Linked DNA regions of Struthio camelus. The protein of the gene in region 1 purifies or fractionates together with the protein of each later gene. This does not show direct contact. Links are inferred from orthologs where the notes say so. Each region holds a gene or a part of one and is shown on either strand. Other genes may lie near its edges. The genes, in order: NEUROG3 and C1QBP.

Region 1 (10,795 bases):
ACCCAACGACCCCCGTCTCGCCGCAAGCGGCGCCAAGCGCTCCGGTAGCCCAAAAGTCAGCGGCGGGGTTGGGGGGGGTCCTTGCCCCGGGGAGGGGGGCGGCGGGTGAGCAGATGGCGACGGGGGCCGGCAGCCAGGGCGCTCCCCCACAGGTTTATGGACGTTCCCGTCCGGCCAGTTCAATCATTGCCAGAGCCGCAAGGTCACCGCAAGGGCTGCATCGACCCCGTCGTGGAGGAGGCCTTGGGGAGGAGGGAGGGGGGGCGGTTCCCCCCCCACCACCACAGAGATGCCCCAGGGCCCCCCCCCCCCAAAATGCTTCCTAGCTGCCCCGGTGGGCTAAGCCCATCCGACAGCGCTTTCGGAAAGGTGCGTGCTCCTCTTACCCCAACCCGACGGCCCGGCAAGGCGGGGGGGACCAGGACCCGTGCGTGGACACACAGAAAGCAACGTCCCCAAGGACCAGCTCCCCGGCCGCCCCGGGGCCTTCATCCCCTCTGCTGCCTCCTCCTGGAGCCCCTCGTCCTCCTCAGGTGGGCTCCAGAGCAAACCAGCTCCAGGTGGCCACCATGCAACCGCAGGAGCTAAGTATTGACCGAGCGCTATCTGAGCAGCCACCTTATCAGGGAACTGGCGGGCTCCGGGCTCGCAGCACCTGCTTCATTAATCTTCCCCCTGTCCCAGAGGCGCGAGGTCTCGGCGGCCGCAGCAACCTGTTTGCTGACCGAGCAGAAGAGTTGGGCAAAGGCAGGGGGCTGGCTCCCCCTCGCCCATCGCCGGCGGCTGCCCAGCAGCTGGCTCCGAGAGCCGTGTTTTTCCAGGCGGTTTATGGATGATGGATTGGTACGTGGGAGGTGGAAAGGGAGAGGATTGTTTTTGCTCTCCTGCCATCCCCCACGCCTAGAGGGAGGGGAGCGAGGACGCGCAGGTGCCTTTCTGACGTGGGCGTGCGGGTGCGAACGTTTTCTTTCCGTCGGCATTTTGCTGGCTACTAAAGGCTTTGGGGAGGCACGGGGGAGAAGGTGAGCTCCATACGACTAGGTAGGCTGGGGAGAGCACTTCCCCGCAACTACGGTCTCAAGTAATTGGGCTTTCACCCGAGCGAGGAGGCCGCGTCTCAGCCTGCCGCAGCTCCGAGCGAACGCGGAGACGCGGCCGGCTACGTCAGCGCCAGCTCCGGGCAAAACTGACAGCTGAAGCCCCCCAGAAAACGAACGGAAACCTCGCAGCTCCCTGCCGTGGTAGAGCTGGGGCCGGGCTGTGCTGCTCCCCCCGCCCCAGGCCTAGCGTGTGCAGCCCCCGGACCAGGCAGGATGAAGTTTCCCTCTTCCACAAACTTGTGATCTCCTTTCAGCGATTGCTTTTTGTATTGGTTTTAAAAGGGGGGCACTGCAGCTTTAAAGAGATTCCCAGACTTGCCTTTGTGCCGGGAGGAGAGGGTGGGGTGGTGGCCGAGGTGGGGACCCAGAAGAATGAAATAAAGAGAAGTACAACAAAAAGAAGTTAAAAGTGTGAGTGACAAGTTTTCGGCAACAGGCTTCAGCCCCTGTGGGGTCGTTTGCACCGAGAATGGAAACAAATGAACAAATGAGCTGGATTTTCATGCTTGGTGGACAGTGAATGAATAAGCATCTTTTAAAACCCTATCAGGAACTCTTTGGATTGTCATTATAGCTGGGGGGGGGGGGGGGGGAGCAGACTTTTGAGCGCTGGCCATGTGAAAGAATCCCGATTCTTCGCCTTTTCTTGGCCGGGGAGCGCAGCAGCTACGCCGAAACGCGCAGCCGGGGCGAGACGACGGGTGCGCACCGGCCAAGGAGACCCCGCGAGGCAGCGCAGGGCGCCCCGGTGCAGAGGCGCAAGCGGCGCGCTAGGAGACGGGACGAGCGGGTTGTTGGCAGGGGTGCGCGCCGATTCCCGCTGGCACAGAGGGGTAGGAGGGCGTTGACAGCGCTGGCTGCCTCCTCTGCCAGGAGACCTAGGTATCGGGGCAAACAATGGCCAAGGGCAGGCGGCGACTCCCCTCGGGCCATATTTATAGCCCGGAGCGGAGGCCTGGGGTCAAAGGAATTGCCCTGGAACGATGGGAACCACCTCAATTTTCTCTCCAGCCTTCAGACACGACTGAAGTTCAACAGCAAAACGCAGCTACCTACCTGCTGTACGCTGCTAGAAGAGGAGAGAGGAGGTTTGGGGGACAGGTTGAAAGCCTCCTCATTTGTATAATGGAATACAACACTACATATTCAAAAAACACATATTCTGATGAACACAAATGATCCCAACATCCAGACGCAGCCACCTTTGTTTCCCAGTTGAACCTTTCACAGTGTGAGTAACTAAACAGAAAGGCGTCACCTGAAAGTGAGCATGTAGGGCATGAAAATGTCAGCTGGTGGTCGGAGGGTTTCCCCCGGCTGCAAAAATAAAAGGCGAGCCTGCTTTGCATGGGATCGCAGTGACCGCATCCAGCAACGCATGGGCAAAGTTTGTTTTCAGACTGACGCTTGCAAGTATGTGAGGGTGCAAGTTTGTGTCTCTGAGATGGTTGCGATCCCAGCGGCCACCTGTTTGTTCCACATCAGAAAGTCCGGAGGCCATTACAGAAGCCATGGTTATAAAGGCAGGGCGCTGGCGCCGGGACAGCCCAGTGAAGAGAAATGAGACCATCATGCACTAAACATAGAGAAAAGATAAATGGAAAAGGAGTCTTTCAGTCTTCATTATCAAGTTTCCATGGGTTTGCCAAAACCATAGCAACCAGTTCAAGCAATGATTAACCTAATAATGTGGAGGCAAAGAAAAAAAAAATGCATTCAAGCCCCTAAAGAAGTCACTAGTTCTCCAGAGGTAGTAAATTCCCCCCGCTACCCCCACCCCAACATACAGACCCACGGCTGGAAGACCGGAGGCATCCTAAATCTCCGGAGAGAAGAATCTGCCATGCAGTAAAACCCACCGGAGTGACCACTTTCTGAAAATGCAGCTGCACAGTCACCTCTCAGGACTTCTATAATACCTGCAGTCCACTGGCCTCTCAGGTTCTCACCCCTTCTCTTGTCCGTACATACCCTCAGCTGCATTTTTGCAATTTTTGCAAAAAACGCTCCTTTTGAAGGATACCTGACTGTGCAGTTATCCTCCCCACTCCCGTGGCACATGCAAACAGCATAAGGTGATGTTGTCCCATAGGGAGATATCGGCGAGGAGCTGGATGAGAAGGGGAAGAGGCTAAATGATTGTATCCCCCCGATAATCACGGTGTTTTGGCTGTGGCCACACACGAGGCCTCGGAGCACTTTTGCAGAGTGTTAAGGTATGAAAACAATAAGCAATTCAGCCGGAGGAGGCGGGGAGGGGGGAGAAGGGGGAGGAATACCATTAGGTCTTTCATTCTGCCTATCTGATCTATGGTGCAGATAGATCACGGTCAGGGATATAGCAGTACACACACACACACACACACAGGCACAGGCTTTCCCTAGTCCTCCGCCTTGTCCCACGCCTCGCAAGCAAGGTGGATATCGCTTCCCGAAACGCAGGTGCCTGGGGGGGTGGAGGGGGTGGTCCCCCCCGGCCCGGCCCGGCCGCCTTCAGCACCATGGCCAGGGCCCGCGGCGGAGCCGGGGGGGGGGGGGGCACCGTGCGCCTTTGTTTCCAGTACCCAAATTTCTTTTGTTCTACAAATTGCCTCAATAGCGTCTCTTCGCTGCTGGCAAATGGGCTCCGCTGAGAACAATTAGCATCACAATGGGCTTTCGGCCTTCGCGGGCCGCTTTGTCTGGCGCCGGCCGTGCTCCCGCGGCGGCGGCGGGGAGGCAGCGCGGCCGCGGAGCGGCGCGGAGCGCCGGCGGCAGCGCGTGGGAGGTGCTTCCCCCCCGTCCCCGCCACCTCCCGCGTTTTTAACCCGTCTAACGTCCTCCCAGCCGCAGCGCTGCCCCTCGGGGACAGCCCCGAAATAACGCCGGGAGGCCGCTGAGCAGCAGGCGGGAGCGCGCAACGCCCTGCGCGGGTCTGCGCGCAGCCCGGGGGGGGGGGGACGCGGAGGGGGAAGCGCGGCCGCTTTAAAGGCCGCCCGCGGCACCGCGTTACCCCCCGTGCCCGGCCCCGAGCGCCCGCGGCCACCGCCGTCCGTCCGTCCGTCCGTCCGTCCGTCCCCCTGCGCGGGCAGGCGGCGGCTGCGCGCGATTTTGAAGCCGAAGGCAAGCCCCTCGCTGGGAAAAACATCGCGTTGCACAGGTCGGACGGCGACACACTTTATTCTCCGTGTCAAAACAAAAAAAACAAAAACAAAAAAAAAAACCACAACACAACATCCGTGGCTCCCCCTCCCCGGTACAAAAACCGGACCACCGCTGCCAAAAATACTCTTATATACAAATATATAGATATATATATTTTTTACGAAATATTAGTTAATAAATACCGATAGCGACAAATTAATATAATTTACCGTTTCCGAGTACAAAACCGTGATTTGTTTTTGCCTGTCAGCTCCCGCTGCGGTTCAGCCAAGCGGGACGGGGCAGCGGGGCGCATCGCCCCCCGTCCCACCCCAGCTGGCCGCGCAAAGTGCGAGCGGGGCCGGGGAGGGGGGCGAGCGGCGCGCGTCCTCCCCGGCTATTTTAAGGGCAAAAGCGAGGCAAAAGCGGAAAGGCCGGCGGCGGGCTCAGAGCAGAGCGGGGAAAGCGGCGGCGGCGGGGCGGCGGCGCGGGGCGACCCCCAGGGCCCCGGGGGGGCGGCGGAGGCGGTGGGCGGCGGCGGGGGGGGCTCGGGCAGGCTCTGCTCGGCCAGGCGGAGGCTCTGCGTGAGCGCCCAGATGTAGTTGTGGGCGAAGCGGAGCGTCTCGATCTTGGTGAGCTTGGCGTCGTCGGGGAAGGTGGGCAGGACGCTGCGGAGCGCGTCCAGGGCGGAGTTGAGGTGGTGCATGCGGTTCCTCTCCCGGTCGTTGGCCTTCATGCGCCGGCTCTTCTTCTGCTTGCTGAGCATCCCCTCGCTCCGGGCCTTGCCGCGGCCCCGCCGCGCCTTGCCCTTCCGGCGGGCCGCCTCCCGCGGGGCCAGCGCGCCGCGGACCGGCGAGGCGGCCCGGCTGCCCGCGCCCGGCGAGCCGCCGGCGGCCGAGGAGGCGGCGGCGTCCGAGCCGCCGAAATAGGGCTGCCCTTCGCCCGGCGAGCAGTCGCTCTGCGGGGCCATCCTGCAAAGCCAAGCCCCCGCGTTAGCCCGCCGCCGCGGGGAGCGGCGCTGGGGCCGCCGCGGGCGCGCACAGCCGCCGCCGCCGGCCGGGCGCCCCCTCGCCCCACGCCGCGCTGCGGCACCAGCTTTTACCTGCGTCCCCTGGGGGGAAATCCCGGGGCGAGGCTCCAGGCCAGCCGGCGGAGCGGGAGAGCGGCTCGTCCTGCTCCGTGCCCCCCGCCCCGTCCCCGCCTCTCCCCCCTTCCCCGCTTTCCCTCGAGCGCGGGGAAGCGCAGGTTGCGCGGCCGGCACACGACTGCCTTTAAGCCCCTATATATAGGGCCGGGAGACAATGGGGATTTCCCGGTGCGGGCAGCGTGTGCGCCCCCCCGCCCGCACCCACCCCTTGGCACGCTTTTATCTTATCAGCCCCGGCGGGAGCGTGCCGGGCCCGGCACCGCCCGCCGCCCCGGCCGGGCCACGCGAGCCCCCGCCGGCTCCCACGGCGCCGCGCGGCGGGGACGGCCCTCCCTCGCCCGACGGCCGCCGCGGCCCGGGGGGGGCTGAGCCCCGCGGTGCGCTGCGCAGCGCTGCCCGCCGGGGCCGGGACCCCTCGCCGGAGCCGCCGCCCGCGGCCGGGGCGCACCGGGGTACCGCGGCGGCCGTCGGGGGGGCGGCGGCGGCGGCGGGCAGCGGGCCGGCTCCGCGGAGCCCCGGGGGCGCGGCGGGCCGGGCTGCGCGCCCGCGGAGGTGCCGAGGACGCGCCGGCGGCCGGGCGGGCTCCCGCCCCGATGCCGGCCCCCGAGGGAGCGCCCGGCCCCGCTTTGGCCCCGGGGCCCCTCTCGCCTGGCCCAGAGGCAGTGCCGCCCCGCGGGGCGCTCCCGGCACCCCCCGCCCTGCCCCGCGCCGCCCCCCGAGGGAAGGGGGCCCGGGGCCGCCTCCGCGCTCCGCGCAGCCGGCGGGGAGCAGCGCCCCGGCCCCAGCGCGCCGGGCCGCGGGGCGCAGCTCGCCGGCCGCCGCCGCGCTCCGGCGCCGCCGCGCCTTGCCCGCTCCGCCCTGGGGGCAGCGGGGGCCGGAGCCCACCGGGACCGGGCCCCCCGGCCGCCCCCGCGGGCCGCGCCGCCCCAGGCCGGCGCTCAGCCCCGGGCGGGCCGGCCCCTCGCCGCGGCTCGGCGCGCAAAACGTGCCGGGGGATTTTTGCGCACCGGCGCCGGCGGGCGGTGGGGAGCGACGTGCGCGCCGGGCCGCCTTTGCCCGAGGGCGGGCGGCGGGGGCCGGCGAGCGGCGGGGCCGGGCCCCCCGCAAGGCGCGGAGCCTCCGCCGGGGCCGGGCCGGGGCGCGGGCCGAGCCGGGCCGCCGCCACCCGGGAGCCCCCCGCTCCTTCGCCAAAGCAGCGCGGCGGCGGCTCCGCGGCCTCGGCGCACGTCTTGCCGGGCGGGGGAGCGGGGCCGAGGCGGGGAAGGCCCCGCTGGCGGTTCGGGCGCCCCTTCCAAGGGGGGCGGCGAGGAGGGCAGGGGAGGATGAATAGGAAGGGCCCGGCAGGTTTTTTTTGTGCCTGTGCAAATTGGACGACAAAAAAAATCTGGTGAGCGAGTTTCCAACCCTTAGACTGCCCACTTCAAACGTCCTTCAAACAAAAGCTGAAGAGGAAAAGAAAGCCCCACCTGGTACCACTGTTTGCTAAAATAATAATAAATAGATTTCGTTTAATAAATAATTACAAGAGATTGTAAAGTGGAGTGCTTTGGGAAGCATTAATCATGGGGCTGGGGGCAGACATCACCTGCTGGCAAACAAGACAACTTTATTGTTAAATCACCTTCCCACTGCCACTTTCTGATAACTCCCTCCTATTGCCACAATGCCCGGCCGGGTATGTTTACTCATAGTTAGCATAACAAGCACAATATTACCACAAACGTGATAAAAATCTCCGGGGGCACCACATTAGGCTCCTACTCACACCTGTCTGAGCCGCTCCAGCGCAGGGCTGGCACCAAATGGCCCTTCCAGGAGGGGCCCTTCTGCCGTTTACATTGGCCTATTTTATGCTACTTTATAACAGGTTTACTGCAATCCCTATCTCCAGGCCCTATTTGTCTTATTTTATTGAAAACATATGGTAACCAGTGGAGCCCCGGCCCATCTTTCGCCTGCCAGGCGTTGGAGACGTTTTGCAATCCGGGCTCGGCCGCAGCCTGGCCTGCCCAACTGGTGCTGTTTGATCGGAAGCGGGCAGGCGAGATAAGGGCCGGTGCGGCTCCCGGCCCCCTCTCCGGCACGGCCGGGGGCTGGCAGCCCCCTCCGCCGCCGCCCGGCCGTGGGGCACCGCGGGCCACCGCGGCCGCGGCTCGGGCGCGGCGGGGCCGCGCGGGTGGCACCGGGCGCGGGGGGCAGCGGGCTCCCCCGGCAGCTCGCAGCCCGCCGGGCCCGGGGCCGGGAGCGGGAGCGGGTCCGCGCCGCGCCGCGCCGGGCGCACGGCGGGCAGACGCGGCTCCGGGGCGCCGCTCCGCTCCGCTCCCCCGCCGGGGCGTGGGGGGTTATTAAGGAGCTACCGTGATTTGTGGTGCCATATGTTGAGCGGCTCCTCGCAGAAGCCCTTCAGCGCCGGAGCAGCTGCTTCCCCGGCCCTACCTACCCGGCGCATAATACCTGTGAGCCGGCGTGCCGGCGTCCCCCTTTGAGAGAGGGCAGCTCCGCGGAGCGCGCTGCCAGCGCCTCTGCTTTGTGACTTTATTGTGCCGTCCAACAGATGCACGGCTGCCCCAGCGCCCCGGCCGCCAGCGCGCTGCGCGGGACACAAGGAGCGCAGATGCCAGGCGCAAGGTGCACCAGATGCCCCCCTTTGTGAACGGCGGATTCAAACAATATTTCTCCCTTCCTCCCCCCGCCCTTCCTCCTCCTCCTCCCGCAAGTGGGAAAGGAGAAGGGGCAAAAGGAGGCCGGGGTGGGGGGGGGGAGGAAGAGAAAGGAAGAGACGCCCCAGCAAGCGGAGCCGGCAGCGCGTCCCCCGCTCGCCCGGAGCGGCCCGACGGGGCGCACGGCCGAGCCGCCCCGGCTCCGCGGAGCGCAGCGCCCCCGGGGAGCCCCGGCCCGGCCCGGAGCGCAGCCCCGCGCCACGGAGCCCCGCCGCGGCACCGGCGGCAGGAGCCCCGAGGGCGCGCACGGGGGCCTGGAGAAGCCTCCTCGGGAAATCATTAATTACCCGGCGAGCGCTAAGCAAGCAGTCCGGGGAGCCGTGAATGGGCAGAGCGGCAAGGGGTGTTTGGAAACGGGACGGCAATCCCCAGCAAGCCCCGTTTCGCCACAGTAAATCTTCCAGCCTTTTGTGTCCGGAGTCTGGCGCCAGAGGAAAGAGCCCTGAGCGACCGGTACACATCCTCAGGGGTGAGCTAGCAACAGCCCTCCCCAGCCTGCCCTAGCCTCGCTGGTGAAAAGGCTGTGTTCCCCCGCCCGGGACCCAATCCTGCACTGTTTTATCCTGGTGTGAGCGACTCTTTGCCAGGTGCAGCCAGTGGCTGCCCCCGGGGTCTGGCTGCTGCCCGTGAGCCCGTGGACCGGTCCCTGCAGTAACGGAGCCAAGCGCCCCGTGGGGCCAAGGCAGCCTGGCTCGAGGCAGAGCCAGGCTACGCCAGGAGTAACATCTCCCCCGGGTTACTGCTCCCTCCTGCCACCGGCATCCCTGGCACAGCTCCCAGCGGCACGCAGCCCAGCCGCTGCAAATGCCGATCCGCTCCCCGAGCACGCGGCAGCCAACGCAGCCTTCATTCTGCAGAGATCTGGCTCAAAGGCCTGGCCCTTGCCCCACCTGAGCAGTTTTCCTCTAGTCCTGCCGGGAGCTGGGGCTTTTCCCCTTGCAGTCTTGGACTGACAGAGGCTGGGGCTTCAGTCTGCTCCAGGGCAGGAATAACGGAGCACTGCCTGTGGGCTCCGGGGTGGGGGACACTGTGCTGCGTCAGAAGAGAAGTAGACCTGATCATATCTGGGGAGAGAACCCAAGAAGGTCTCCTCTATGGTAAACCTTTCTCCATGCTTACGTGTCCTTAAAAGGTAGTCTGATGGGAGATGGCTTCATAAGGTCACAAGAGCAGACAGCTGTCCGGACGCCAAAACGTTCCTTAGGTCAGAATACAATAAACCCAAGCATGCCAAAAGCCTAGGTTATCTCTGGAAGGAAAACAGGTATCATGTACAAAACGGTGAGAGTTAGATACCAACCTGCGGTGCCTACAGGTGGGTGCTGTGAAACCTGTTACATTACAGTACTTACCCAATCCTCCAAGTACCTACCCAGGTAAAAAAATGTAGCCCTCACCTCGCTGGGGCTTGGTTACCTCCCATCCTTCCAGGCTGACAAAGCTTGCTCTCCCTCTCTGCTTTGTGGCAAACAGTTCCTTGCCTCAGGCCTTATTTTGTGAGAAGATCCTGCCAGAATGAGGGTTTCTTCTTTTACCCCGGTCAGAGCCTGGGCGGAAGGGATGGGTTAGATGTCTAGCACGTTCCCTCATTCGGATTTCCCAGGCGCCATGCTTCTGAAGCACGCTTCTGGCTAGAGCTTTGCAAAGCCGCCAATCCAACACCCCTTGCCGCTCAGCGAAACTAGGTCAGCATCCCAACGGGCGTTCGAGCACAAGTCCTCACTTTAAGCCACAAGACGGTCCCGGGGCCCCGAGTCAGCACGTCCTGCTGTATGTGGCCGCACAGAAATCTGAAAGAACCGCTGTAATCAGAAACTTTTACTTTCTGCGCAGCCACGTTTCAACAGCAGGAAGCTGTTGGTGTCTCGAGCGCTTGGACTTAGCCAATCCGCAGTGGTTGTCTTGAGCTGCCAGCTGCAAAAAAGCACATTTGAGACTTCAGCATTCATTTGCATAAATCCTCCTTTGGCCATCAGTTACTAGCCACCAACTAAGGGTACGCATGCGTTTCTCGGATTGTTGTCTTCCTGAACGACATTTCTGTCTTGTAAGGGCAAAAATGCAACTTTCTGCGTTTTAGTGAAGTTGCTATGGCACTGAACGGCACCCTGGCACGCTGTCACGCTCCTCATCTGTCCCCACGCTGCCCGTCAGGCAGACAGACAGCGCTTTCTGACCTCTGAAAACAGGCAGAGGCAGGCTTTCCTCTCCCATTTGGAGGCTCCACTGGTCAAACGTCAACCATACTAGAGGGCACCAGAGCTGGCGTTTGAGCAGCGACAGAGTTGCGAAAAGCCCGGAGCCTCCGGGACTCGTTTCCAGTCCTGGCGCGGGAGCAAGGGCAGCCGGGCCTGGAGGGACCAGCCCAGCAGCAGCCCCCCGCAAGCTGCCCCCGAGCCGCCGCTGCAAGGCAAGGGAAGGTCTCGCCGCTCCTTTGCAAGCACAAGTCACTGCAACATGACCGTGCTCTAACCAAGCAAAGATCAGGTACCGGGATGCAAAAACAAGCCCAATGAGCGGCACGCTCATGCACCACCCTCAGTGTATGCAGAAGGCGTTGAACTGGGAGCAGGGAAATCATAAAAATGATCATGAAAAATGATCAGAGCATCACATCCAGCAGAAAAAAATAGTGATTTCTCCAGCAGGTCCAGCGCAGCTCCCCTTCCACTGCCACGTGATGTGGCCGGCATCCAGCCGGCGCT
Region 2 (10,888 bases), on another chromosome or scaffold:
ATCTTACCTTGCTCAACGTGTACAGGGCCTTCAAAAATGTCAGTGGCAACAAGGTAGGATTCTCTCAGGCTGCCCTTGGCTGCCTGTGGACATGGTGGTGAGGAGTTCTCTTGACACACAGCAGAGTAACATCTGCAGCCTTCACAGTTGATATAATAGGCATCCTTCCAAAGCACCTATGAGAAGGGAGGGCTTATTTGTGCTTTACAGTGGGGTAGTCAGAGAGTGCTGTGTAGTTGCAAAAGGTCCCCCCAGAAGGCCGTAGTGGAACTGATTGTCAGATTTCCCTGAGGACAATTTTGTAATTGCAAAGTCAGGTCTCTCTCTTGCCTAGTTCTAGCTGGAAACAGGAGGGGATGGTAGAACGTTGTGACTTGCTGAGTAACACCTAGATGTGCTCTTTGGTATGTCAGGATGCATTGCAAAGACACTAAGCATATTTACCAATAGATTTGGATTTATTCTACCCTATAAACTCAGTCTGATTTTTAGGTTGGGAGAGTAGTGCACTCCATTCCCTGCAGCATCTTTCTTATCCATTCTTACTCTTGTGTAGTTTGTTTTCACCAGCTGTGGGATATCGAGTGTTGTTTCACAGCATTTGCTGACCTTGAGAGCAACTGAGAGCAGGAAGAGAACAACACATTGCAATTCCTTCACGCTGTGGGAAGGAATGTAGACAGAGGGCAGCAATCACAGGTAGAAATCTGACAAGGAAAAGGGTTAGCACCTGTTCTCTAGGAGATGGTGTGTTTTGGAGATTTCTGCTCTTCATGGTATCCAAAGGTTTTTCATGCTTCTTGGGTGAAGCAGCAGCCCCTTCTCACTCTTGGTGCCTCTGCTGCAGGAATGGTGCAAAGAGAACTTTGTCAACAGCAGGAACATGATGCTCGTGTCGGACGTCAGAGCTCAGCTCAGGGACATTTGCGTAAAGGTAACTTGTTGCCATACTCTATTTCTTAGTTTTGTCTATTTGCATTTTTCTTTTCTGTTTGTCCCCCAAATGATTTCCTTGTGCACCAAGTCCCAGGAGCAGCAAACCTGGTTGTGTTTTCAGTTCCTAATGAACAGCTGGGGAAAATTCCTGACTGTGCAGATTGCATTCCAGAATCTTAGAGCTGCAGGCCTCAATGCGTCTAGGAGAGGTGTAGAGAGAAGTGGGGCTCTGGGAAGGCTTCTCAGGCAGAGGACAGTTTTTCCTAAGGGATCCCGCTGCTATAGTGCAGGTGGGACTGTGCTGTGTGCCACTGGGTGATGGCAGCCTCCACAGCCCATGCTGGCTGGCTTCTTCCCATAATCGGGCATTCAGCTTAGGAGCAGCTTTCACATCAGCACTGCTCCTGCCAGTTGCCCAGCTTGAGCGATAGCACAGGAGCCAGGGCTGGATTACTTGCAGTCCGTACGTGACGTGGGAGCCGCGCAGCCGCGCACCCCTGTCCTATTGTGAATGCTAGCTGGCCTGACGCTGACTTGCAGAAGGGGAGTCTGGATCCGTTTTGTGACTCTTCTCCTTTCTGCTGTTAGTCTGGACTAGCCTAATGCCTCAATACAAAGCCCTGTCTGCGCTGAATTCCCAGAGGTCCCAGAGGTTTTGTAGTTCATAGGCTAGCTGAATTGCTGGCATGGTGTTGCCTGGCCTCAGAAGCCCATTGAAATGGAGTTGCGTTTCCCCCTGAGGGTGCACATACACGCTTGCTTACTCTTTGGCACGAGAAGAACACATTGTGAAAATAACTCCCAAATGGAGTCCCTCTGGACAAACACAGATCTGTGTGAGAAGTAAAAGCTAATGCCATTTGATAGTGAGCAGTACCTTGTGCACTTTAGGGTGTGTGACTGCAAAGTGCCGTGCAGCCCGCTTGATGCTATGGCTTCCATCTCTCCTGCCCTGGTTATGGCTGCCAAAGATCCAAGGAGGGCAGGATTTCAGAGCTGGGTAGCATGGGCACAGTAGCTCTGGAGAATTAGGAGTACTGAGGTGTTGCTAAGGCTGATGTTTCCCTGCAAAGCATGCATGAAAGCCCAGCTGGAGCAGAAGCCGCAGGCTGTCCTCTTCATGTGGCCTTCTCTCCTGGCAGAAGCGTTTCTCTGAGAGCCTGCAAGTGAAGTTAGAACAGTACCTGAGCTCACTCTGCAGGGCCAAGATCCCCTCTCTTTTGGGGTCCCAGCTGTCAGAATGAGTGCCAGAAAGTGATGTGCTCTTCTGGGCTATGCGGGAGCCTCCAGCTTGCTGTTTAACTTCTTTAGATGTGATGTTAGGGGTGTCTGAGCCTGGGCTGCAGGATGCTCTCTAAAGGTGCTACCTACCACCTTGTCTCTCTCACTGCTAACCAGCTATCGATGCCAATGGAGTCTTCCCGCTCAGACACTGGAAACATCCGCCGCTGCCTAGCTCACAGCCTCTTCATGAACGCTGCGGAGCTGCAGCCGGACGGCACTTACACCACCGTGGACTCTTACCAGTTGGTGGCCATCCACCCCTCTTCTGTGCTGTTCCACTGCAAGCCGGCCTGCGTGGTTTACAACGGGCTGCTTCACACCAACAAGTGCTACATGCGGGATCTCTGTGTGGTGGATGCGGACTGGCTGTATGATGCAGCCCCTGACTATTTCCGCAGGAAGCTCAGAACAGCCAAGAACTGACCTGCAGGCCTGGGGCTAACAGGACCAGGATTTTTAGGCTCACCTAATGAGGCTATTTTTTGTTTTGTAATGAATGTATGGGAATGGTAGAGCTTTGCCTTGTAAATCGGGTAAAAACCTTAGAGGAAAAATGGCTTCTCTGTGAGAGCCAGACCTCACAAGTCTCCATGGCTTAGAACAATCATCCTTTATAGCAGTTAATCTGTAAAAGGGAAACATAACAAGTACTCTGTGTGCACGCGTGTGTGTGTGTGAGAGTGATAAATCTGTGTTGGGGGGGGGGAAAGGGAGCTGGTATCAGATTCCAGTTTTTAACACTTACTAAACTTTAACGAGCTTGTATACGAAGAAATGAAATCCTAAGAGCTCTTCTGAGCAGACTTGGTATTTTTTGATGATTGTGCTTGTATCCTTAGCAGGTTTTATTGGCAAAAAAAGGAGAAAAAAGTTTTAAATCTCTACATACAGGGAAAAAATGCCTTTTTTAAACTATTTCTAGAAGGGAGGTGCTACTGTCTTTTACCTCATTAAACATCTTCCTGCCTGCATGTCATATTCACCACGTCATTTGGGACCAGCTGAAAGCTAGTAATGGCGTCACCTGCTTGGACAGGTCTTCATTGCCTGTGTCTGTGTCCCAGGGGCTGGTAGTATTTTCTCGGAGGGGCTGTCCAGCCACCTGTGCATTTGATGTTGCTTTTGTTCTCCCTTTTGCTGTTAGGGCATGCAATTCCTCTGTGTCTGATGCACGTGGAGGAGGCAGCTGTAGATTCTCAATATTTGGCCCCACGGTTCCACGTGGAAAGATGCAATCTGCTCTGTCTAGAGCGATTTTCTTCCTCTGAAGAGCCAAACTTCTTAAAACAGGAGGAGGGACTCACTCCTGGGAAGGATCCAGCGTTTTAGCAGCAAACTCTTACGTCCTTCCCCGCTCTGTATCTGGACACTTCTGGCTTTGGAGTTGGCACACCGTCCACAATAGCTAGTCAAGCTAGTTTGAGGCGAACTCAGCAAACCAAGTACGAAGATGTAGTTTAGACTCTTAGACTTCCTTTAAAGGCACTGGAATCATCAAACCTTTCTTCTGCTCTGACACCGGTGCTTCTTTCCCCCTTCCGCCCCCCCAGGCCCCAATTATACTTTGACTCTCCATTAGAAGTTTGGAGCTTGGCGTTGTTTGTCAAGAACCATAGATCTGCCATTAGTATTTATTTTTATTTTTCCATATCCCTTTGGCATCTAACTATCTTTTTTTCTTCTTATTGGAGAGAAGTGGCAATAAGAAACTTAACCCTCTTTTTAAATACTGTAATTAAGGAACTAAGACCACTCCAAAGGTAAAACTTGTTCTGTAGTGTGAAGGAAAATGGGTTGGTTACATTATGACTGTGTGTGGGTGGAGAAAAAATTTAAGTTGTTTTTAAATGATGCCCTAAGTAGTTCTAAAATAACCTCTCTGGGAGAGGTGACTTCCAGTTTCAACAGAGTCTGTTGACACAGTGTATTAGTTTATACAGATTTTTGGATGAGTTGCACTAAAGCAGATTTGTTATAGAGTGGGAGAGAAAGCCGTTCTGTAAATACGGTGTCATTATATAATACAGTGAGGTTAGCTAACATGGGCTGTGACGGGATTTTCACCCTTTGACTTAAGTGGTGTTCAGTTCTTGCGTTCTTCAAGCATCAACTTAAAACAAAAATAAAAGCTCATGGCATTTTAGTGGGACTGCTCAGGGATGCAGTCATATTGGCAAGCCCTTACTCACTCCATTTGCTTGGGGAGTAAATAAACTGCTGGCTTTGCTCGTGGGATCTGTGGGAACAAGCTGCACTTTCCAGTTAGCAAAATGTCCTTTCTGGTTGCACACATCACAGTTACCCAGCACATTGTAATATGCCTTCTCTTTGGGCTCCTGATTTCGACTTACCTTGGTTCTCTCTTTGAAAACTGGGTCAAATACCTCTTAAAAATAAAAAAAAAATGGAATTTCACTTTTGCTGGTCTGCAAATTGCTGTCTCCAAAGAGAGTAGATAGGGATCCAGTGTACCAAGAACGGTCTTGTCTCTCAGCCTGTTCCCGGAAAGGGTGATACTGAAAGTTTGCGGGGGTCCCGTGGAAGTGGGCTCGCGTCCGTGTTGTGCCTCTTGCGGTGTTGTTCCTTGGTGGTCAGAAACACACCAGTGTGCGGGGCACAGGCAGCCGTTGCCACTTTTGTATGTAAGAGCAGCTATCGGTTTTGATTCGTGTTTCAAGAGTGTGCTGTTATTTCAATTGTTCTCACTCGCACAAACTGCAGGGAATTATCAAAGCACTGTACGTAACTCTTCCTTGTTTATACAGACTGCATCTGTAGGGGAAAATGGAGTAAAAGCACATTTGGTTTGGGCAGTCTAATTAAGCAGACTGTTTAAGGGAGGGGATGGGGAACTGATTTAGAAGTAACTGATTTGTATATTTTTCCCACAATAAAGAGCGATGGCTAAAATCCAAGTGCCGGGTGTCGTTTTGTGAGGCGGGAAAGCTGCATAGCTAACAGAAATGATGGCAGGACGTTTCGGTACAAGTCCTCATAGTAGTGCTTGAAGTCCGGGGGCGAGTGTCCTGTCTTGACGCCGTCCGGGGTTTCGGTGTCACTGAAGCACTTTGGATTTTAAAGATAAAACCTTAGCAGGGGTTGGTGAGTCTGGGCTTTGCGTACAGGAGGGGCCCAGTTATTGCGGAGGCAGGACTCAAACACGAGCGGGGAGCAAAAATCCTGGTCCTTTGAAGCCATGATACCGGACCTCTCCAGCCAGAGCCTTGCTGCAAGCACTAATTGGCCTTTTGTGGGTCTGGTCAGAGCATTGGAACAGGTTGCCCAGAGAGGTGGTGGAGTCTCCTTCGCTGGAGATATTCAAAACCCGTCTGGATGTGATCCTGGGCAATACGCTCTAGAGGACCCTGCCTGAGCAGGGCGGTTGGACTAGATGATCTCCAGAGGCCCCTTCCAACCTCAACCAGTCTGTGATTCTGTGGTCAATAGGGGACAAGAGTGCCAACTTGGAGACAAAGCCCGGGCTTTAAGCCAGGAGGCAGTTTGCCTTGGTCGCGCCCCCTTCTAAAATATTTATTGCTAAAGGCCAAAAAAAATCATTTGTTTCCCCTTTCTGAGGCCTTGCCAGAAAGCTGGCTATTCTTCTAAGAAAGAGCCGGGAGGATATGCAGGGATAAAGCTTTCAGCGCTCAACGATGCTTTTTTCTTGTCGCGGTCAGTGTTGAAGCTTCAGCGTCGTTTCCACGCGCCTGGAGCTTTTCTGTGACCCTTTCAGCAGCGCCAGAGCCTCACCCGCCGAGTGCATGGGGTGGAGAGGTGGTAAATATTGATGTATATACATGTAATATTGACGTAGACGTGGTGCGTGTGCTGCTCTTGTGTATTGTTGCTCTTTGTAGCCCATCAGAGTAGTGAGCTGCCCCCTTGACAGGCGTCCCTCTGCAACCGCTGTAAGCAAGTCACTTCAGGTTTTCCACTTCCTTGTCTGTAAAGCGGAGGTAAACGCAAAGCTGGACCGAGCCCTGCTCTACCGCCTTCTGTTTGCATAAGCAGCGCGTTTCCGGGCGGGACTCCGCAGCTGCCGGGGGCGGGACTCGAACCCGCGGCGCCGGGCTCGGGGCGGGGCGCGCTCGCCGCTGCGCTGCCGCGAGGCAGGACGGGAAGGGGGCGGAGCGCGCTGCGCCGGAAGCACTCGCGGCACTTCCGGGCCAGGCGGTGTCCTCCGCTGCCGGCCTCGCCATGCTGCTCGCCCGCGCCCTGCGCCCCGCCGCCGCCGCCGCCCTGCGCCCGCCGCCGCCCCGCCACCAGCCCCGCCGCCCCCTTCTCCTCCTCGCCGCCCCCTCCTGCCCCCGCGCCCTCCTGCCGCCGCCCGCCGCCGCCCCGCTGGCGCGCTCCCTGTGGCAGCTGGGCGGCGGCGGGTGGCGGAGGGCGCTGCTGCGCCCGCGGCGGGGCTCGGCCGGCGGCGTCTCCTGCGGCTGCGGCGGCCTCCACACCGAGGGTGAGCCGGGGCGGCGGCGAGGGGAGGGAGCGACCCCCCCCGGCAGGAGGGGCGAGGGGGGCGGGGGGAGCCGCTCTGGGAGGGCGACGGCCCCCTGGGGGGGGGGGCAGGGCCCCCGTGAGGGGGGCGGGGGCGCGAGCGGCCACGTGCGCCCTCCCCCCCCCCCACGTGGTCGCGCGTGTCCCGGCCCGCACGTGGCGGGCGGGGGGGGTGCGACACGAGCGGCCTCGGCCCCCGCCGGGCCGTGCTGCCCCCCCCCCCCCCGCCACCGTCTCCCGCGGTGGCCGCGGGGGAAGGGGCGATCTGCAGCCCCTGCCCGCTCTCGAGGGGTTTCTTGCTTTTTTCCTTTCTTATTCACTCGCCTTATTGCTGCCTCCTAAGGAGACAAAGCGTTTGCAGCCTTTCTGACGGATGAAATAAAAGAGGAGAAGAAGATCCAGAAACATAAATCCCTGCCCAAGATATCTGGAGGGTGGGAGCTGGAAGTCCATGGCACAGAGGCCAAGCTGGTCCGGAAAATAGCTGGGGAGAAGTAAGTGCAAACGGGTGCTTGGCGTTTCTAAGGATTCATCTGGGCAAGCGTGTGTGCTTGACAGCAGTAATCACAATTCTTCTGTGTGTTCGTGTTGCTTGTGCCACTGTCTATCCAGGCTGCGCAAACTCTGGGTGTTGCATAGGCTCGTTATTTTACCATCCTGGGCCCAAGGTGTTTTTCTTACCAGTTGGCTTTGTTTTGTGTGTTGCAAAGATTTGTGAGATCTCCCTCCATTAAAAACATGAAATCAGTCTAATAAAACTTGAAGAACGCCCACCTGTTTTATTAGAGCGTGCATCTTAAACTCTAAGCTGCAATACATACCACATGAGGGAAGGACAAATAGAACAGAACATGTAATATGCTTTGAATCTCGTTCATGAGGTGTGAATTCAATGGCTGTAGTGCTGTCCCTGCTACAAAAGTTTCAAATACGAGAGATACAGTAAGTATTTTCTTTATTGTGTTTAAAATAATTGCTTATGGTTCTTTTGAAGGATAACGGTTACGTTCAACATCAATAACAGCATTCCGCCATCTCTTGAAGAAGAAGAAACACAAGAAGAGCAGAAACCTGATGAGCAGGAGGTAAACATAGTCTTTATGTACACTTTATTATGGATGTCAGCACACAGGAAAGTTAGCTGTTTGCCCTTAATGCTTTTTCTCTCATTTGATATTTGGGAGCATAAAGATAACATAACGCAGATTTTTCTCAATTTCCTGTTCTTTGGCTGTGACCCTCTTCTCTCTGTAGCAGGAAGACAGAGAGGGTGAGAGGGTTCTGTATGAGGAGAGATGAAAGGAACGGAGATATTTGACTTTATGGCTGCCTCTGTAACCTGCTACAATAAATACTGCCTTTTGTACTTTGCTTAGCTAGTGTAACTAATGGTACTGGTATGCCATGCCAACAAAATGCAAAACTACTCACATGACGTTGTTTGCATGGTTTTGTTGATTAGAAGAGTGTCGCATGCTCCTTTTTCATAAGACTGTGAGTAAAAGTACTGGTAAAACTAAGCGAGCAATGTGATTTGAGGCAGATGCCTAATCTACAGTGACATTGGTTGAACAAGTAGGGAATGAAACTGTACTGCATGTCTGTGGTTTATAGCAGTTACTCTGCGTTTTTTGAACGTTAGTGCTTATTCCAGTGCATTACTGCTTAGTACACTCAGCTGGGCGGGCTGGGGAGACTGTACGTTGCTCCCCATCCCTGGGCATGCCCTTATCTACTGAGAACACACAGTGCGCTTGGTCCGTGCGTGTGCATAGGAAGTCTTTGTGCACTGCCAAATGTCCCACGTGAAGGAGCGCTGGCGAGAGCAACTCCTGCTCTCAAAACAATTTACAGGGGGAGGAATCTGGGTGAGTTGCAGGCTCTCTGGGTTGTTAGTGATCGTTCTACCAACGTGACCAGATGCAGAATAGAGAAGGGGCTGAAGGGCCGTGGGTGAGGTTGGAGGAGGCTGCCTTGGCGAGGACAACTCCAGAGGCCCTCAAGAAAGAGGGTGACTGGGAACAACCTGGGTGCTGGATGGGCTGTGTTGCTGGGCTGTACCTTGGCTGCTTTAGCTCCCGTTCAGACTCCAATGCTGATGTGAATTTCTTTCTTACCTTTTACGTAGCCTGATATTACATCAACTCCAAACTTTGTTGTAGAAGTAATAAAAGATGATACAAAACAGACCCTTGTTCTTGACTGCCATTATCCTGAAGATGAGGTGAGTATTGAACTGCTCAGGTGTCAGCTACGGCTAACTCTGGCCTGTGGCTCACTGCACATCTCCTGCTTGACCACAGTGTAATTGTGCCACTGTTGAATCTAACTGCTCTAACAGTCTGCTGGTTTTCTTAATCTGCAGAAAATGCAGTCTTCTCTTGCTTCTCTTGTTTAACACAAAAAAAGGCTTTAAGAGCCTGCAAGAATAAGCTCTGGGGAGATGTTCCATTACATTCCTTATATCCTGACCTTGCTTTTCTAATCAGCTACATATAGGCTAGCTTATTGAATTGGAGAAAGGAGGTATGGATTCTTTAACTGCATGGCAAATTGAGATAGGTAAACAAGAATGGCCTAAAGGATACATTTAATACAATGTATAAGTAACTTGCAAATCTCATGGGTGCTGAGGTGTCACAAAGGTGGAAGAGTAGTAGGGATTAGCCAAAAAAAAAAAAAAAAAGAAAAGAAAAAAGGGAGGGGAATTAAACTGAGAGCTTTGCTTCAGGGTGATTTTTGTGGTTTATTTTGCACATCTTAACATCGTTTATGCAGACACTCTGATGTCAAAGGTTAGACAGACTTCTGAGGACAGAATGTTTTAGAACCTTGCAGAAGAGATTTTTACATCTTTGTCATTGACTTACATCAGGTTGCAAGAACTGGTAGACTGACCTCTTTTGGGATTTCCTGTGTTCTCGTGCATGTGCGTGCTTGTCTTCACAGGCATGTGTTGAAAGAGAGGAATGGCTTTAATACTGGTTGTGGGGTTTTGCCTGCACTGTAATATTCCTTGCTTCAGGCTGAAGCAGTGGCTAAAGGAGCCCTGTAGTTTGGGCTAATCTTTGTCTTGCCTCCATTTCCTGTTTCAGGTCGGACAGGAGGGAGAGGACGAAAGTGATATTTTCACAATTCGAGAGGTCAGCTTCCAGCCCGCTGGAGAATCAGATTGGAAGGAAACCAACTACACCCTCAATACAGATTCCCTTGACTGGGTAAGTGCTGCTAAAACTAACAAGGCCTTAGACTGCAGAGGACACTTGAGCTTCCCTGGACTCACTCCCTGCTTCTGAATTCTGGATGAATCCTGTTCTGGGTGCCTGAGACCGGGGATTCCCCTGCTCTGCCCGGGCTTGCTGTGCGGCAATGCTTTTCTGTGCTGCAGATCCACTGCAGACTGAGGGCTGTTATGTGGTCCCAGTAGTCATGCAGTGCTGGTGGCATTAGTGGCAGTGAGAGGCCTCCATGTTGAAACCACTTCTGTCTCAGGCTTCAGAAGTTTATGATGCTTTTTCCTAGCTGCACTGCGTTTTAGAGATGCTTTAACGATGCTTGCACAAGTATCATTTAATCTATGTTCAACGTAACAGTAGTTTAATTTTTGTTTTAAGTTTCCCAGGTATGTTTTCCTAGTGGGGACATAAAATTAAAAGAAACAAACAAACCTGGAATCTGTTCAAGAATCTGGCATGTACTTAAAAGTTCTCAATGCCAGGCTTTCAAAAGGTTAAAGCCTTCTTAATTTGAAGCTGTATATCATGTGATTAACATTTTAGAGTATTTATCTTTGGGTAGTGTTCACATTACGTTGGTAGTGTGCTCTAAAATATCCCGTGCTGCTTTTTTTTCCCCATTCTGACTTGAGACAAAATTAATTGCAAAAAATGTGCCTGGTATCTGGTCTCGTGCAGGAGGAAGGTCTGATTTTCCTCAGAGAAAGAAAAGCCCAGTGCCATGGGGCATCTTAAAATCAACCTGTACCCAGGTGTGTTCTGCTCAGTAAGTTTTCTGTTCCTTCCTTCCAGGCTCTGTATGATCACTTAATGGATTTCCTGGCTGATCGAGGAGTGGACAACACATTCGCTGATGAGTTAATTGAGCTCAGCACTGCACTGGAGCACCAGGAGTACATTAAATTCCTTGAAGACCTTAAAAGCTTTGTCAAATGTCA

Evidence for each region.
Region 2: the proteins of NEUROG3 (region 1) and C1QBP purify together in Homo sapiens (affinity purification with mass spectrometry; 3 studies listed by BioGRID and IntAct, counting the BioPlex papers as one, with this or other methods). This does not show direct contact. The link is inferred for Struthio camelus from reciprocal best matches to the Homo sapiens genes NEUROG3 and C1QBP.

The regions. Positions count from the first base shown.
Region 1 is NC_090948.1:39,202,064-39,212,858, reverse strand, and holds the start of NEUROG3 (neurogenin-3), read right to left. Parts: upstream 5,194-10,795; coding exon 4,691-5,193; intron 1-4,690. UniProt on the Homo sapiens protein: Acts as a transcriptional regulator. Together with NKX2-2, initiates transcriptional activation of NEUROD1. Involved in neurogenesis. Also required for the specification of a common precursor of the 4 pancreatic endocrine cell types.
Region 2 is NC_090957.1:13,518,996-13,529,883, forward strand, and holds the start of C1QBP (complement component 1 Q subcomponent-binding protein, mitochondrial), read left to right. Parts: upstream 1-6,396; 5' UTR 6,397-6,417; coding exon 6,418-6,676; intron 6,677-7,057; coding exon 7,058-7,208; intron 7,209-7,708; coding exon 7,709-7,799; intron 7,800-8,842; coding exon 8,843-8,938; intron 8,939-9,809; coding exon 9,810-9,932; intron 9,933-10,742; coding exon 10,743-10,888. Other genes in the region: ATP-dependent RNA helicase DHX33, read left to right, coding at 1-53, 848-934, 2,335-2,643.